2 linked regions of the Macaca mulatta genome follow. The protein of the gene in region 1 purifies or fractionates together with the protein of each later gene. This does not show direct contact. Links are inferred from orthologs where the notes say so. Each region holds a gene or a part of one and is shown on either strand. Other genes may lie near its edges.

The links.
Region 2: the proteins of ITGA2 (region 1) and ITGB1 purify together in Homo sapiens (co-immunoprecipitation; 3 studies listed by BioGRID and IntAct, with this or other methods). This does not show direct contact. The link is inferred for Macaca mulatta from reciprocal best matches to the Homo sapiens genes ITGA2 and ITGB1.

Annotation. Positions count from the first base shown.
Region 1 is NC_133411.1:60,828,409-60,837,875, forward strand, and holds part of ITGA2 (integrin alpha-2 precursor), read left to right. Parts: coding exon 1-33; intron 34-1,718; coding exon 1,719-1,829; intron 1,830-2,395; coding exon 2,396-2,478; intron 2,479-2,899; coding exon 2,900-3,041; intron 3,042-4,156; coding exon 4,157-4,249; intron 4,250-4,833; coding exon 4,834-4,910; intron 4,911-6,279; coding exon 6,280-6,363; intron 6,364-9,467. UniProt on the Homo sapiens protein: Integrin alpha-2/beta-1 is a receptor for laminin, collagen, collagen C-propeptides, fibronectin and E-cadherin. It recognizes the proline-hydroxylated sequence G-F-P-G-E-R in collagen.
Region 2 is NC_133414.1:34,306,689-34,316,155, reverse strand, and holds part of ITGB1 (integrin beta-1), read left to right. Parts: intron 1-1,406; coding exon 1,407-1,645; intron 1,646-3,760; coding exon 3,761-3,916; intron 3,917-4,752; coding exon 4,753-4,848; intron 4,849-5,148; coding exon 5,149-5,238; intron 5,239-6,764; coding exon 6,765-6,932; intron 6,933-7,104; coding exon 7,105-7,304; intron 7,305-9,467.

The sequences.
Region 1 (9,467 bases):
CAGAGTTGCCCCGAGCACATCATTTATATACAGGTGAGGCCTCAGGACCAACCCTTTTCATTTTATTTCTTCTAAAGACAAATGAGTGGTAAAAGTCTAAAATAGAAGCTTATGAGTTAGAAAATGTTTGCCCTTCTAATGAATGCCTTTCTTACGTAATTCCATAAATAAGAAGCATATTTACTTTATGCTAATACTTATGGTCACAATCTATTATTATATAAGTCAGCAGCATCAGATTTCATTCGGAATTGCAATGAAAGGGCTAAAAATACAATTCTTAAAGAAATCATAGATACAGTGTTTTCTTAAATGTTTAACAGAGAGAACTTTCCATTGGCAATAAATTTTATTTTGATAGTTTCCTATCAGGGAAAAATTTTATTTATTGTTCAGCTACTGAAAAATAAGTCCAATTGTGGTTTCTACTATTAGATTTCAGTTACCATAGATGCCATGTAGTAGATTATGAGATAACAATTATTTGTTCTAATTGTATGCTATAATTACTGTATTTAACATGGATTTTGAAAATTTCCCAAGTAAGAAAAATGCTTTTCAGGAGAACACTTCCAACCAGAAATTTATTTTATAAATGATGTGAATATTTCCACCTTGGAAACCACATAATGGCATTTGAAAGGATAATTTACTCAGGAAACCACTTTTTTAAAAAGGATATTTAAGTACTTTCTTAGAATATGGTTCTCAGAATTTAAGGAGCAAAGGAACTGCCAGGGAAACTTTCGGGAAATGTATATTCCGGGTTCTTACCATCAGAAATCTAGGTTTGAAGGCCCAAGGAATATGCAGGTCTAAGGAGCACCACAATTATTTCTCATGTAAATGGATGGTACAGAGAGATCTTACTTCAAGAAATGCTAAGTGTAAACACTAGAAAAACATATTGACGGTTAAATGAATTAAAATCAATTGAGTTGTTTAGTTAATTTTTCAGTTTGAAGGTTTCTTGTTTGTGAAGACATGGACTTCTTTGTTGTTAAGGTGACAATTTTATAGATTCTTTAAAGGAAAAAATCTTTTTTCCCTTCTCTCCCATCCTGTGCTAAGTGGTGGATCAGATTATACTCGTAATCCCTAGTGAGGAAATGGAGACAGCCAAGCTGTTTTTCTTTAAAGTAAAAAAAAAAAAAAAAAATCCTCTTTCTCTATTTGATATCAATGCCAGTTAAAGTACATCCTACTTGCTAAGCCCACAGCCAGCGAAGGAAACATCTCCTCATAGCCCAGAGCTATCATGGTAGACAAGCCCCCAGAAGGAGTAAGTCCTTCTGGGAGGACTTCTGGGAGGCCCCCAAGAGTTAAGAGTAAGTCCTGCCTGTGAATGGACTAAAGAATACCAAGATACTGCTTCTGAGTAAAAGGCAAATTCAAATGTTAGGGTTTCACTTGTATAGACATAGTGCTTTCTTGACAAGAACTGATGAGCTTCATTAACTAAGAATCCCTGCTTCAAATTCTTACTAGACCCAAGTCTCCTTTGGTTTCTTAGTAGAAGAGAGGCTAAAAGCAGAATGAGGTTGGAAGAAAAGAAGTGAGAGTCTTGATTATTCGAAACAAAGATATTCTACATAATTGAGAGCTGACTGTGCTCTTAATTGTAAACACATCTGTAATCGTTTTCTTGTTTTAATGCTGCTGTGCCCTAATAAACTGACTCTGTCTCTCCCTGTATGTTTGTGTGTGTGTATGTTTAGGAGCCCTCTGATGTTGTCAACTCTTTGGATTTGCGTGTGGACATCAGTCTGGAAAACCCTGGCACTAGCCCTGCCCTTGAAGCCTATTCTGAGACTACCAAGGTCTTCAGTGTAAGTGCAGCTTACACTTCCTGGATTTAGACTGGCAAACAAAGTTTCACAGTCACTACAATAGTGTCTGAAGGATACTTAGGATGCAGCCTGTAAATTCTTAATTTTCTAAATAAAATACAATTACATTTGCATAAAGTTCACTAACACTTAAGTTCCATGACAGTAAGGATTTTTGTTTTTCTTGTTCACTGCTGTATTTCCAGTCCCTAGACCTGGGCCTGGCCCATTGTATGTGTTCAACACATATTTGTTGAAGAAATAAATAAAAATAAAGTAAATGCCTTGTGCTCACCACTCAAAAAATATTACCAATACATATGAAGCTCTGTGTATCGCTGTCCCCGCCATAGACACTTTCATCTAGCTCCCCCTGCGCAAATGATTATCTTGAATTTTGTGTTTATTAATGCTTTTCTTTACTATTTTGTTAAACATTTATATATTCCTAGAACATTGTTTGGTTTTATACTTTTTGTAAATAGAATAATACTGTATGTATTCTTCTGTAATTTGCTTTTTCAACCCAAGAGCAAATGTATGGATCTTTTTTTCCTTTTTTGTAGATTCCTTTCCACAAAGACTGTGGTGAGGATGGACTTTGCATTGCTGATCTAGTTCTAGATGTCCGACAAATACCAGCTGCTCAGTAAGTTTTACTTTAAAGCTCATTGTAAAATGTAGAAATAAAAGACACATTAGATTACTTTATTCAAGTGAATGTTTATAGAGTTTTTCTACAAAAGAAACATTCATAACTAACAAGACCTTTAAAAACTAAATTTCAATGTCTACTATCCACATAAGAGTAAATTAATAAGAAATACAAAATTATCTGTATTTAAATAGTTCCATTCCCTCTAATATAATAGCAACAAAGAACAAAATCCAAACGCACTTACTTATTTGTTGTCAGTATCATTTTAATGCAAAGATAGTTTATTACAAAGCAATTTTCTCAGTATTCTAGGTAAGTCTAAAGAGTTTAGTTTTTTAATGAGTGAAATTTTAAAATACTGGCCTTTTTATTTAACAGTAATGGCTTCCTCCCTCCTTTTTGCTTTTAACAGAGAACAACCCTTTACTGTCAGCAACCAAAACAAAAGGTTAACATTTTCAGTAACACTGAAAAACAAAAGGGAAAGTGCATACAACACTGGAATTGTTGTTGATTTTTCAGAAAACTTGTTTTTTGCATCATTCTCCCTGCCGGTATGTGATGAGACCCTGCGCTTACTTCTACCATGCTTCCTACTTATCGATCACTCTATGTCCTCTGAGTTGTTTAAAGAAGCACCTTAACCCTCAGCATGATCAGTCTGAACTTTGTGGCTTCCGACTAGTTAAATCACATGAGAACATAGTCTGGCTCTATATCTAGATTCTGCTTGACAACTCGGGTCAGTTTTTCCCTTATCCTGAGACTTGGCAGCAGTAGCCAGACACTCCCATAACTCTTCTTGAGCCATCAGTGTGATGAGGCTGCTGCATTCTGCACAGATGCGGTGCACTTGCTCTGAGACATTTGAGTCCCAAAGCTCAGCCTGAGCTTTGCAACTACGGTTGCTGCTGCTGCCAAGATGATGCACATCAGCAAAGCCAGCTAATCACATTGACTTGATCGTTATACCAGGAACACACTTGACCGTGAGTGCTCCCTGGTCCCTCCCCTACCACCAAATGATGAAGAAAAAAGGGAGAGAAGGAAACGCTGAGATTTTCCAAATGAACTACTTGATTAAAGGATTAAATAGTGATTTCATTTAATTTAAAGTTAATGTGATCTTAATAGGCTTAGAGTTCTAAACCTAATCTGACCTTGCTGTTTAAACATCCTGTGCCAAGTGGCAACTACTTCTTTTAAAGGGGGGGAAAAAAACCTGAAGAAAACAAAACAAAACAAAACAACAACAACAACAAAAACCCTTCAAATTATTTAAAATACGAACACCAATATATTCTTCTCTTGAAAATGCTTCAAATAAATTGAGAAAAACATATTCCTAAAGCCAGCATTTTAAAATACTGAATTAAAGCTATTTGTGCATCTGAAATCTAAAAACTATCTTTTTCTGAGGAAAAAAATACAGTATTTAATCTTTTCTTTGGTTTGTTGGATGTCCTAGGTATCTTTAGGGCTAGCAGCAAAAATAGTATATTAGCCACCTGGGCAGTATAAAATTTCAAGTCTTGAGGGATAATAAATTATTTCAGTCTGAACCAACCTTACTGCTAAAATGTCACTGTACCTCTTTCACCAGGTGTGTGCATACACAGCCAAATATTATATGCCAATTGATCATTGTTGTTTCCTTGGTCTTGTTCAGGTTGATGGGACGGAAGTAACATGCCAGGTGGCTGCATCTCAGAAGTCTGTTGCCTGTGATGTAGGCTACCCTGCTTTAAAGAGAGAACAACAGGTACAGCTTGCATTTCATCCTCCAGTCCATACAAGCCCTCCTCAGCACATATGCTGATTTACCAACATAACATCCTGCTATCATAATTTGATAGGCATCACAAAATAACTGGCTGCATACTTAGGGGAAGTTTTCAATATCTGAATGTTTTCTTTAAATTATTAATAAAAATGGGATTTTCTCCATGCAATTCATTCCAAAAGGTACACACAATATGGAAGGTTCTTTTTGTCTAAATATGTCGAGCAACATTGGTCAAAGCACTCTACACAGAGTCATGGAGATCATTTATTAACCCCTGTTAACAAGTTTCACATCAGCTCATAGCTTCTAAATTCAGACAGGTATATGCACCTGGATAACTTACATGTGTCACTTGGAAGTCAAGCTTTTCTAATTCTAATGTGAAGCATAGTGAAACAAGGTGGACAAATAAAGATATTTTATAAATTGGAAAACTTAAGGTATATAAAATTCAGAATCAAATTTGAGTGAGTTTACTTTTATGGGAAGCATTTTTTTTTTTCACATTGACCCCTGAGTATGAAGCATCATAGACTGAGAAATTTTAATTTTGTCTTTAGGTGACCTTTACTATTAACTTCGACTTCAATCTTCAAAACCTTCAGAATCAGGCATCTCTCAGTTTCCAAGCCTTAAGGTAAAACATAATTAAGTCACCAATGGAATGATGGATAGCTTTATATTTCTCTTTTTTTAAAAATTTATTTATTATTATTATTATTATACAAGTTCTAGGGTACATGTGCATAACGTGCAGGTTTGTTACATATGTATACATGTGCCATGTTGGTGTGCTGCACCCATCAACTCGTCAGCACCCATCAACTCGTCATTTACATCAGGTATAACTCCCAATGCTATCCCTCCCCCCTCCCCCCCCCCATGATAGGCCCTGGTGTGTGATGTTCCCCTTCCCGAGTCCAAGTGATCTCATTGTTCAGTTCCCACCTATGAGTGAGAACATGCGGTGTTTTGTTTTCTGTTCTTGTGATAGTTTGCTAAGAATGATGGTTTCCAGCTGCATCCATGTCCCTACAAAGGGCACGAACTCATCCTTTTTGATGGCTGCATAGTATTCCATGGTGTATATGTGCCACATTTTCTTAATCCAGTCTGTCACTGATGGACATTTGGGTTGATTCCAAGTCTTTGCTATTGTGAATAGTGCTGCAATAAACATACGTGTGCATGTGTCTTTATAGCAGCATGATTTATAATCCTTTGGGTATATACCCAGTAATGGGATGGCTGAGTCATATGGTACATCTAGTTCTAGATCCTTGAGGAATTGCCATACTGTTTTCCATAATGGTTGAACTAGTTTACAATCCCACCAACAGTGTAAAAGTGTTCCTATTTCTCCACATCCTCTCCAGCACCTGTTGTTTCCTGACTTTTTAATGATTGCCATTCTAACTGGTGTGAGATGGTATCTCATTGTGGTTTTGATTTGCATTTCTCTGATGGCCAGTGATGATGAGCATTTTTTCATGTGTCTGTTGGCTGTATGAATGTCTTCTTTTGAGAAATGTCTGTTCATATCCTTTGCCCACTTTTTGATGGGGTTGTTTGGTTTTTTCTTGTAAATTTGTTTGAGTTCTTTGTAGGTTCTGGATATTAGCCCTTTGTCAGATGAGTAGATTGCAAAAATTTTTTCCCACTCTGTAGGTTACCTGTTCACTCTGATGGTAGTTTCTTTTGCTGTGCAGAAGCTCTTTGGTTTAATTAGATCCCATTTGTCAATTTTGGCTTTTGCTGCCGTTGCTTTTGGTGTTTTAGACATGAAGTCTTTGCCTATGCCTGTGTCCTGAATGGTACTACCTAGGTTTTCTTCCAGGGTTTTTATGGTATTAGGTCTAACATTTAAGTCTCTAATGTATCTTGAATTAATTTTCGTATAAGGAGTAAAGAAAGGATCCAGTTTCAGCTTTCTACTTATGGCTAGCCAATTTTCCCAGCACCATTTATTAAATAGGGAATCAATTTCGTAATGTTTCTTTCTATAGTGAAAGCCAAGAAGAAAACGAGCCTGATAATTTGGTCAACCTCAAAATTCCTCTCCTGTATGATGCTGAAATTCACTTAACAAGGTAGGTGAAGCGGTGGGTAACCTGTTATCACTAACACCAACTCTAGATCAGAAGATTTTTGGCTCATGGCTAAATAAGTCCTCTGTATGCTCATTCTTAACTGAAGAATTTGAATTACAATTCTTGTCAACTAAAACAGAAGTCCACAGACATATAGGTCCCTAGGAAAACCTTGAGTGACTCATTAGGTTTATTAAACTAACGAGAACAGCCCAGAAAGGCAGAGAAAGATCCCTGTAGCCACACATCACAGGCACACTTCACATTGCAGGCCCTCTGAGTAGCTGCAAACATTTTCAAAATGTTGAAACAGAACTCTCAAAGGTCCTGAGAATTGTCTGCACTTTCTTCTCACTGCCTGCTTCCCATTGTATATGAGATCTCAAGCGGTATCCCCATTCCTGGACATTGAGGCCCCAAGCACAAAGTTTTACACACAGTAGTTTCACAATAAATATTGAATCTAGTCACGGTTTGAATATTCAAATATTGAAACTAGATCAAGTCTAGTTTCTGAGTGAAAAATTCCTAACATATCAGATTAGGGTTTTCTTCCAGCCAGGAGGAAATGAGGTTTTTTCCAAAGGAGGTCATCCATAAAGAAATGCTTTGTTCCCTGTTTTTACCTGCCCAAAGCAAGCAAACCTGAGAGCAGTGGTGTAAATGTTACTGGTTGATACCAGCTGTCTTTAATTGTTCAGGGGGACGGGTGTCTTGGGAAGTGGGTGACATCCACATTTCACAGGTTCTAATAGATTGATATCACTTTAACTCATACATAGAAATAAGGTGAGTTCATGGCAGACAAACTGGGGCACAGTTGTGCAGGTGCAATGGGCCCAGGTGATGCCCTCCTACAGGCCGGGGAGCCAGAGTTCTCTACCTGGTGAAGCACTAGGACAGCTTCCCAGCACAGATCAATGACCCCTGAATAGCACACTGCAGCACTTTCCCAAGAAATCCAGTGACAGCAGGTTTGTCTAATTTCTACCACAATCACCCCAGCCCCTAAGAGCATGGAATCTGTAGATCATTCAATAGCTCTCTGAGCAAAAACAAAAAGGAAAATATGTCATCATGTCTAGAGCTTGAGCCAAAGAGCAAAGATGAAAAGAATGCTTCTGTATCAAGTGAGTTGCAAACAGCACAAGCAGAAGCAAAATACAGTCCAAATAATACATCTCTGAAAAAGTCATCAGTAACTGCAGACTTCAAAGGATCCCCACTTGCTAAAATAAGGCATTGGAAACAAATGCAACCAACCCAAATTGATGTTACCACATTACCTGAATATTTTCCTTCTTATATTGATCCTTTCTTCTAAATATTTTTTGTCAATACAGTCTTTTTATTATTCTACTGTCCTACAATGGCCAATATTTTTCCAGATATTTAAGAATGAAATAAATGTAAGATTGAAATGAGACTTTACTTTTACTAATTATCATATTAGGCATGTATTTTTGTAATGGCAACTTGAATTCAAATGTATTCTAATGTTCTTTAAAATATATCCTCAAAAACATTAACGTAGAGAATTATAAAGGACAAAAGCTAAAATGGCTCCTAGTCCTACTACCGAGAAAACCCAAACATTAGAGAAAGATACACAGTGAGAGATCATCCCTCCCCACCTTCCCTAGTGCCACTCCCCATAGGGGACTAACAAGACTTTTCCGAATATCTTCCAGATACAGGGTTGCTTATCTACCAGGATATATGCATATAACGCACGCACACACACACACACACACACATATACACACACGCACATTTTATTACCCAAAAGGAATGCTAAAACACTCTTCTGTACCTTGCATTTTACATAATCTTAGGAAAGTTTTCATATGAGGACATACAGATCCAACTTATTCCAGTTCTGACTGGATCATAATTTATATAACCGATTCAATATTAACAAGATATTTGGTTGTTTTGCATTTTTATTTTGTTTGGTTTAACCATCACAAGCAATGCTGCAAAAGAATTTAACAAACATCTTAACAAACTTTTGAAAAAAATCCTACCCAATAACTTAGTGTATTTCTTAGCAACAACTTTGATACTGTATAACTGTACAATTATACTGTAAAAAAAAGATGGGTAGAAATAACGATAATAGTATTATTTCTGAAGCAGGATCCCCCTGAGTATAGATAACTATTATTATAAATATATTGATCAACACTTAAGTAGCCTAAGGAACACTTAAGTAACAAATGGAAAAGTGTCAGATCTCTTTAAAATGCAAAGAGAGACCATATTAATTTAGAAATTGGCCCCATTTAGGATCTCACACAAAGATCTTCTGGAAGGCATAGGAAATAATTCATGCACACACATCCAAGCTTTCTGTTTCAAATCCTAGTCAGTTTTCCCATTTTCCATGTCAGGCTGACAAATCATTGTTTCCTCTCATATATAACCTTGACAAATACATCCACTCAAGTCTCCCTATGACATATTTTCCTTTTATGGACTTGGAAAAAATTCATTAAGGCATAAAAGAGGGAAAGACAAGGTTTTAGTACAGAAACCCAAAAAAATTCTACTTCAGAAAATGCCCACCCCAAGTTTTTAAGAAATAGAATTAACATTCTATAATTAACATAAATTGTCCAGTGGGAATAAATGGAAAGGATATGCACAGTGTTCTCAGACCCCTACCCTCACCACTCATACCTTAATCCCCAACCCAAAGAAGCTACCCTGGTTGGAATCCCACCTCAGAGCCCCATAAATGAGTGAGGAGAGGGGAGGTCCCCAGTTTCATTCTAGTCTGAGTGGTCCTATGAGGGTTTCTCTAATCTCATCATCACTTTGCTTGCAGAACTTTGTTGGTAATCTTAAGCAAAGAAGTTAAGATCAATCCAGCGTGTTTAGGTCCAGAATACTAAAACTTCTGGATCAGCCATCTTAAAGGTGGTCTCTACACTAATGGCGGAAACAGATTTGACCAACCCCATTCAGACTAAACCATTTGAATTGGTTTGCAACTAAAGAAGGATAGGAAGAATGAATAATACAGGCATCCAGTAATGAACACTGAAGGTGCTCAATACCCTGTTATTACATTTGAGCCACAGCAAGGTGAAAAACCCTGG
Region 2 (9,467 bases), on another chromosome or scaffold:
AATCCACCTGCCTTGGCCTCCCAGAGTTTTGGGATTACAGGCGAGAGCCCCCATGCCTGGCCCTTAGGACTTATTTTATAAACATGTATTGAGTACCCAGATTTTATCTAATTACTAGTTAGTATGGCTGTACCTGCCTGTACAGCCTGATCTCACCTTAGACCTGGATTTTTCATACGGTGATGATCTGTTTTCCAAACCTTATTTTTCCCATTTCATGCGTCCCCAGCTTAACCTCTTTTTTGCCTGCTTCTCTCCACTCCTGTTGCTGCAGAGGTTTAGCAACAGAAAATTAGAAAGATTTGACAATCATGAGGCCTAAGAGCTGCCTTTCAAAAACTAGCCCTATTTTAGTGGAAACTTTAAAAAAGAGCACTTGCTTAAAATGTTCTTTTATTCAGTAAGCATAATTCAAGGACCATGGCATTAGGGAACTCCTACCAAATTAGTCTTTTTTAAAATGGCCAGAATTCTAGAATAGTTATTCTTTTGTTCAGCATGCCATTATTGACAGCTGGTGTGCCAAGAAAATGAATGTGAGTTATTTTTAAAGTAGGGAGGCAAAATAAAAAGATTGACTTAGGTCTTAGTCCATTTGCGCTGCTTTAAGAAAATACTATAAACTGGGTGGCTTATGAACAACAGAAATTTATTTCTCACAGCTCTGGAGGTGAGAAGTCCAAGATCAAGGCAGATTGAGCATCTGGTGAGGGCCCTCTTCTGGGTTCATAGATGATACCTTCTTGCCATGTACTCACATAGCAGCAGGGGACAGCAGCTCTCTGGGGCTTCTTTGATGAGGTCACTGTAGGAGTCTATTCTTACGTTGCTATAAAGAAATATCTGAGACTGGGTAATTTATAAAGAAAAGAGATTTAATTGGTTTACAGTCCTGCAGGCTCTACAGGAAGCATGGCGCTAGCATCAGCAAGGCCTCTGGGAGGCCTCAGGAAGCTTCCAATCATGGCAGAAGGGAAAGTGGGGAGCAGGCTTCTCACATGGTGGGAGCAGGAACAAGAGGTGGGGGGAGGTGCCACACAATTTTAAATACCTGATTTCATGAGAACTCCCTCACTATGTCACTCACTCACTATGTCTGACCATGGCTTGGTCAGAATAGCACCAAGCCATGAGGGATTGATCTGCCCCCTTGAGCCAAATATCTCCCACCAGGCCGCACCTTCAACATTGGGGATCACATTTCAACATGAGACTTGGGTGGGGACAAATACCCAGACTGTGTCAGTCAGTAATCCCATTCATGAGGGCTCTGCCTGAATGGACAGACATTCAGTCCGTAGTAACCAATATGTGGTAACATAGATGAATTTTTTAAAGAATGCAAATCTCTGTCTTTCCATCTATCCTTCCATTCATTCATTTATGTACCATTTTTTTCTTTACAGGATTTGGTTCATTTGTGGAAAAGACTGTGATGCCTTACATTAGCACAACACCAGCTAAGCTCAGGAACCCTTGCACAAGTGAACAGAACTGCACCAGCCCATTTAGCTACAAAAATGTGCTCAGTCTTACTAATAAAGGAGAAGTATTTAATGAACTTGTTGGAAAACAGCGCATATCTGGAAATTTGGATTCTCCAGAAGGTGGTTTTGATGCCATCATGCAAGTTGCAGTTTGTGGAGTAAGCACATTCATTTCCTATAAGGGGATATTATTTCTATTACGTGTGTGAATTTTAAGTGTGATTTTACTATGTTAATAGAAAAATTGATCTTAATTTTCATACATTTGATTATCTTAGAGAAGTAATTTAAGTAAATCCTTAAATTGCCTGTATACAGGTGCCTTTATAAAAGCATATTTAATCTTTATGCAAACCAGGCAGTTAGTTTATTCATGCACGCTTTTAAAAGCCAGAATGCTAACCATTTGAAACAGCGGGGCAACCTCCCTGTACTGTAGGTGGTGGTCTGGATTTTAGAAAAGCCCTTGTGTCTTAACTTTCTGGTTTTGTACCAGAGATAGAATTGATGTTATTACCTGAGGCATCACCAGGAACCTTGAAATTGCTCAAAGGGAGGGTGTCTTGTATCATTTTCCTTTGGTCAGTTTTCTTCTCACTGTCTTTGAAAGACACATCTTTCACATCTTTTGAATTAGTAATTCAAAAAGAAATAACTTTTTAAGCTCTAGTTTTTAAGCTATATGAATAGATGTATTTTGAGAAGTGGTATAATATTTGTAATTTTAATTGTAAGATTTTTAGTAGCAAGCCCATCCCTATTGGATCAGTAATTGGCATTTTATGATCCATGTAGCAGCAGCATATTTTGAGATGACACTTGAATGGTGTGGCTGAGGCTGAAACTAGAAAAGATTGTGAGGTCAAGTTTGTCCTGTGTACCTACTCTTGTCTCATTTTTGTTCCATCCAGTGCCCCCATTCTCTAGATGACCTTCTTTGATTTTAGAGGCCTCTTAATGGTTATTTTTCAGTCAATTTTTGCTAAGGTGCTAATTGATGCCCAAAATAATAAGTGAAGGAATATGGATAGTAATACAAATTTTTCTATCACCACTGATGCTGGGCAATTTACTTAGTCTCTCCAGGGCTGTTTTCTTTTCTTTAAGAAGGGATGATAATAGTTATCTACCTCATAGGGCTCTTGTGAAGTTAAAATGCATCAATCTCTAGAAGTACCAGTGAGCATTCGGCAAATACCAATTCCTATATTGTTGTTACTTTCGAGTTTTCACTAGAGTGTTTGCAATTTAAGGTTAGTCCTTGCTATTGTAGCCGAAGCAGGTAGCATTCCAGGTAGTGCCTAGCCTTACACCTCTTTTCTTGCTAGCCAGTGACATATGAACCAGTTAGCATCTCCTTGTGGAGAGAGCATTCTCTGGGCTGCCTCTAACTAGGCCTTAACCTGTGGGATTAAACAAGCCATAGCACCCTTGGTTGTGGCTATTTTTCTGTGTTGGTCATGCTGATCCACTCCTCTAGATGCAAAATGATTCATCACTCCACTTTTGAAAGATTGCCAGTATTAATTAATGTGATTACCACCTTAAAGGATTTTACAGTCTTATGAAGATCTAAACAGACGTATTAAATAAATTAACTAAAGCAAGTAAATTCCTGTAGTCATAAGATTTTATAATTATAAATTACCATAGTGACAAAAAGATTTTACAGTTACTTTAGATTCTTATTGGAAAGGTCAAGAATAAAGTAAATGAGCAGATAAACAGTACTGATTGAGGAGTTAGAATGGGTGAAATTATCCTTAAACAAGATAATTATTTCCGTTATAAAAAAGGGAAGCCTCATATGGTGGGCTGATAAGGTGTATGGCATAGAATATAGAGCAGATGGGTGGATGGGGACAAGACAGCAGCAGTGGGGTAAAGTAAGAATAGGCTGAGACACTTTCATTTATTCAGCAAATGTTCATCGAGCGCTTACTGCTTGTCAAGCAGTGTGCTGGCTTGCTAGCTGCTGGAGATACGATGATAAGCAGAACCAAACCAAACCAAACAACAACAACAAAAAACAGTTTTTAAAAAGAACTGAGAGAGATGGATGGTCAGGCAAGATATGGTTGTACATGGGATGGAAGAGCTTCATTCACTGGGCTTTGTGCATTTCTCAGCAAGATAATTAGCATTGTATAAAGAGAAGACACAGAAAAAACAGAATTAGGTTAAAATACAATGGTGGCCTGTATGAAAATTAAAGGATTTTTGTTGAATTACCGTGAATAGTGTTTTAAAATTGAAATCCTTTTCTTTTCAAGTCACTGATTGGCTGGAGGAATGTTACACGGCTGCTGGTGTTTTCCACAGATGCCGGGTTTCACTTTGCTGGAGATGGGAAACTTGGTGGCATTGTTTTACCAAATGATGGACAGTGTCACCTGGAAAATAATATGTACACAATGAGTCATTATTATGTAAGTGCTTAGTTCCTTACATAGCAAATGTGTTTATGTTGGATTTTAATGTTTAATACTAAGAGTTTGTGGGTGACTGGCTTGGGGTTTCTCAGGGTTTGAGGTTTTGCTATTTTGGTAAGTAGGGATCCTGATTGAAAGTGCAGGAAAGCTAGTGTTGCTGTTTGTGAAGATGTGGCTTTGTATTTGCTTCCTTCTGCTCAGACAAGGGCCTCACTGGGGTGAGAAAGGGATGCCCAGATGCCACTTTCACTCTTTGCCTCAACTCCCTGCCCACAGCATTTGGTAGCACAGTCAGTACTATTTCTAAATAAATAATTTATCTAGTCTCATACTCTTTGTCTTATATGATTTTTAAAAGCAGTCACTCTGCCTTTATTGAAAAGAAATATTGGCAAAAGCATTCAGGTTCTAGAAGAAATCCAAATGGGAAATCTTGGTCTTTTTCTTAAGTTGTAGATAGTAGAATATTTGATTACTGACTATTCTTTAATTTCATTGTCCCTATATTTAATATACATAGATAATCTTACTATTTAAAACCTTTTGAATATGGAATTTTTTGTTCAAACATGAAAGAGAAGAGGATTAGCAATTCATGTATACACACTACTCACTTCAGCAGTTTATATTTGATATTATTTGAAAGCAGTCTTGTAATCTAGTTATATGTATGCAAGAGATGTACTCTAACTATATATAAATTACATATGTAATCTAGTTATCTAAAGCAGTCTTGTAATCGAGTTATGTATAATCTTGCATGTATGACTAGATTGAAAAATTAGATTATAAGGGTGTATTTACATACTAAAATATATTACTTGATTTCTTAGGATTATCCTTCTATTGCTCACCTTGTCCAGAAACTGAGTGAAAATAATATTCAGACAATTTTTGCAGTTACTGAAGAATTTCAGCCCGTTTACAAGGTAAATGTGTGAGATAAAAAGAACAAAATTCTAAATATTTTTGGTTGAGTTGTTAGAGGCAAATCATGTCTGAATTGAAATGTGGGAAAATGCCACCAGATAGGCAAACCGAATTTTACAAAAGTGGTTTATATTAACTTTTAATTACATATTATAAAACTGGTTTCTAGGTTTGACTCCTAAAGTTAGTTAGGATGAGACATATGGGAACTGGCATTTAAAGATAAAAGTTGCTCAGTAGATGCTAATTGGTTGAATGAATAGTAGATGTATTTTACGTGTTTTATCTTTTAATTGCAGGAACTGAAAAACTTGATCCCTAAGTCAGCAGTAGGAACATTATCTGCAAATTCTAGTAATGTAATTCAGTTGATCATTGATGCATACAATGTGAGTACATCTTAAATAAGATCAGTTTTGGACAATACCCTGTTGAGAATACTTTCTTCAAAGAAAGTGAAACTTCCTTCATACACACCTTAGCGAGCCCAAAGTACTACAGAAATCTTAAATCTTAAAGGCATATTCTGATAGAATAGATGACTTTTCTGATAGAAAAGTTGTGTTTTTTTTTTTTTTGGCCAATTCTTTTCCCATATATTCAGAGGATATAGGTTTCTATTCAGGAGGTACACATACACTCATATATACATATACCATAAAATACATAAAAATGTAAATATATGTGTGATTTGCCTATTTCAAAAAGATTTATAGTGTTGTTTTCTCCTCACAGATGGGAGGAAGTTGAATTGAAATTAAAGAGGAATTGGCTTCTCCTTTTTGAGCATAATTCAGTGTACTTCAGTCACACTGAGTTAGCCTTAATTAGTGATCATTTAAATAATCTGAAGGCAATTGTAATATTATGGTAACCCTTGTGTGCCTCGTGCACCGCTTTCAGCCCCCATCCCCCTAACCCTTTGGCAGCTTGAATTTTAGACATTTTTACCTCATGTCATGGGGGTACCATAATACTTTGGAAAGGCCTGACTCGGAGGGGTTTTTACAAAGGTTTTTAAGGTTTTACTGGTTCCACAGCTTTTCCATTCTCCCCTGTTAGATAATTTTCGTAACCCCTGTTTTTCAGGGGTGTGAACAAGAGATAGCTTGCCATTTTACCCTTCTCCATTTGTCCTGAATAGTCTCATACGTTAAACAAGCACTGGTTTGAATCCTTGGGGGATTTTGGGTTTTTTTGTTTGTTTGTTTGTTTTGGCTGGGCTACAATGGTTCCTTAAGCAAATTTGTTCCTAGACTGCATAGTTGATTGTTTACCCTAGTCTGTAGTTAGCTGGAGAGGTAGAACTGCAGAAATGCCATTTTGCCAATGGGGAAGACAGCATTTATTTCACTTTTTTTTTTTTTTTTTTTTTTTTTTTAAGATGGAGTCTCGCTCCTGTCTCACCCTCCCGAGTAGTTGGGATTACAGGTGCATGCTGCCACGCCCGCTTATTTTTTTTTTAATTTTTTTTATTTTTGTATTTTGGCAGAGATGGGGTTTCACTGTGTTGGCCAGGCTGGTCTCCAACTCCTGAGCCCAGGCAGTCCACCTACCTCTGCCTCCCAAAGTGCTGGGATTATAGGCGTGAGTTACCACGCCCAGCCTGTTGCACATTCCTAAGACTTCTCCTGATCAGCAGTGGCCCTCCACACTGTGTGATCCTGAGTATTTTAACTCAGCGGTTAAAACACGAATACTCTTTTCAGTTGTGTATTTTATTTTACAGATTGGATCCTTATTAATTAAAACCTATTTCTCTGGCCTCTGTGTTTTCTAGTTGCTCAATTGGATTTGGCTTGTAAATATTTTATTGAAATATATTTTTTTCTGAATAGTTTATTTATCCATTGGTTTTATGCATTCAAGTAGATTTTGTTTGACTTTTCCTGTGTATAATTAGGCATTCTTTTAGTCCCTTTCCTCAGAAGTCATTTTGGAAAACGGCAAATTGTCAGAAGGAGTAACAATAAGTTACAAATCTTACTGCAAGAACGGGGTGAATGGAACAGGGGAAAATGGAAGAAAATGTTCCAATATTTCCATTGGAGATGAGGTATGTTGTATTTCCATTGGAGATGAGGTATGTTGTATAATATAATGTATGAGGTATATATTTTCTGTAGAAAACATTGGTTATTTATAAGCAAAGTTAGTTTGTACTTTGAGAAACATTAAAATAAGTGAGCAACTTTTTGAAATATTTTTTAGTAGATTTAAATTGCTTAGTTGTTAATCTTTTTTTTCCCTTCAAGGTTCAATTTGAAATTAGCATAACTTCAAATAAGTGTCCAAAAAAGGATTCTGACAGCTTTAAAATTAGGCCTCTGGGCTTCACGGAGGAAGTAGAGGTTATTCTTCAGTACATCTGTGAATGTGAATGCCAAAGCGAAGGCATCCCTGAAAGTCCCAAGTGTCATGAAGGAAATGGGACGTTTGAGTGTGGCGCGTGCAGGTAAGCTGGGCATTGTCAGACAGTGACATAGCTACATTGGTTTAGAGAGTACAGGCAGGTCATATTTTGGGACATCCAGAGAATATCTCTCTATTTGGAGCAAATATTTTTTCCAACCACGGTTGCTCACCACAAGATCAGTTTGATGATCTTGTGTGTGATATTTATATAAAGTTCCTTCCTGCCTTTTTTTCTTAAAGTGATTACTCTTTAAAATAAAAGATTTTATAGCCATGGAAGAAGTATATTCAACAAGTTGTCAAGGTAGTGTTTCTCTCATGTGAGAGCAATCTGAATTTATTAGAACAAAATAAGCTTATGTAAAATATGTTTATAGAAAAATAAAAACATCAAACCGGTGATGGTGATTTTGTTGGGGAAATGGAATTATGAAGCAATAGAAGATGTTTGTCTTGTACTACATGTACTTCTGCATTGTTGGAATTTAAAAAAAAATAAATATGTGTTGTAAAATAAAAAAGAGAAAATGGTATTTTCAGCATGTAGTGTCTAATACTAAGAAAACTAACAAAATTACTTCAGATTTTATTTTCACACTGTGGTTATTTTTTGTAATTGAAAATTAAAAACTGAGTATACTTTGAATACAGCTTTCTCCGTAAAAGAATAGGAAGAGGGGAGAGTGTTGAATCCAGTGTTAGCCCCAAATGACTAGGCTTAGAAGGCTGTTGACCATGAAAGAAATACATGGCTGTAGCTCACTATCAGTTTTTAATTGTCTGTGCTAAGTAATAATTTAAATGTTAGAATTTTTTTATCTTCCATGTTGTACATATCCTGTTTTAATCATGCAGGCCCATTTTTAGTAAATGTCATTTAACCAAAAAGATTATCTTGAAAATACTTTGCCTTTCTTTCCTTTATATTTTTACCAGATACAGAATCAGTGCAGTCAGTGTCCGTGAGCATTATGTGTTCTAAAAATACACAGGGAACCTGAAAAGTCTGCACCTGTAGGATAAATTTGTTTTTAAATAGTATACTAGTTATATTTTTAAGTGGTATGCACGGTATGTTTTTCTTCAACTTCCATACACTTTTTTGCATGTGTAATTGTATTTTTTTAGGCTAACAGACCATTGCTTTAAATTTAGACAGTTCATCTGGAATAGTAAATGTAATAGCATATACTATTTGAAAATGTAACTAATGTACTCTTTAAGTTTATTCTGCCTTTCCACATGTGTCATTCACTATTTATTGCTAGATTACATTTTCATCTTGACCAAAATGGTTACTTTCCTGAATAAATTTTTTTCCTAGACTCTTGCACATATTCCGTATGAACTCAAGTTCATACGGAACTGAAATGTACATGTGTGCCTGTGTATATTTGTCCATGCTGGCACATGTGTGTACACTTTACCACATGTCTGTGACATGTGGCATGGACACTCCCACCTAATAGATTGGTAGCTTGAAGAGATTTTTTATAGTTTTATTTCCTTTCCCAGTTTTTCTCTTTTAAATTATTTTCCCCTCCAAGATTCTTCTTCTTCTTTTTTTTTTTTTTTTTATTATACTTTAAGTTCTAGGGTACCTGTGCACAACTTGCAGGTTTGTTACATGTGTATACATATGCCATGTTGGTGTGCTGTACCCGTTAACTTGTCATTTACATTAGGTATATCTCCTAATGCTATCTCTCCCCCCTCTCCCCACGCCCTGGCAGACCCCGGTGTGTGATGTTCCCCAGCCCGTGTCCAAGTGTTCTCACTGTTCAATTCCCACCTATGAGTGAGAACATGCAGTGTTTGGTTTTCTGTTCTTGCGACAATAGTTTGCTGAGAATGATGGTTTCCAGCTGCATCCATGTCCCTACAGAGGACATGAACTCCTCCTTTTTTATGGCTGCATAGTATTCTATGGTGTATATGTGCCACATTTTCTTAATGCAGTCTGTCATTGATGGACATTTGGGTTGGTTCCAAGTCTTTGCTATTGTGAATAGTGCCGCAATAAACATACATGTGCATGTGTCTTTATAGCAGCATGATTTATAATCCTTTGGGTATATACCCAGTAATGGGATGGCTGAGTCAAATGGTATTTCTAGTTGTAGATCCTTGAGGAATCACCACACTGTCTTCCACAATGGTTGAACTAGTTTACAGTCCCACCAACAGTGTAAAAGTGTTCCTA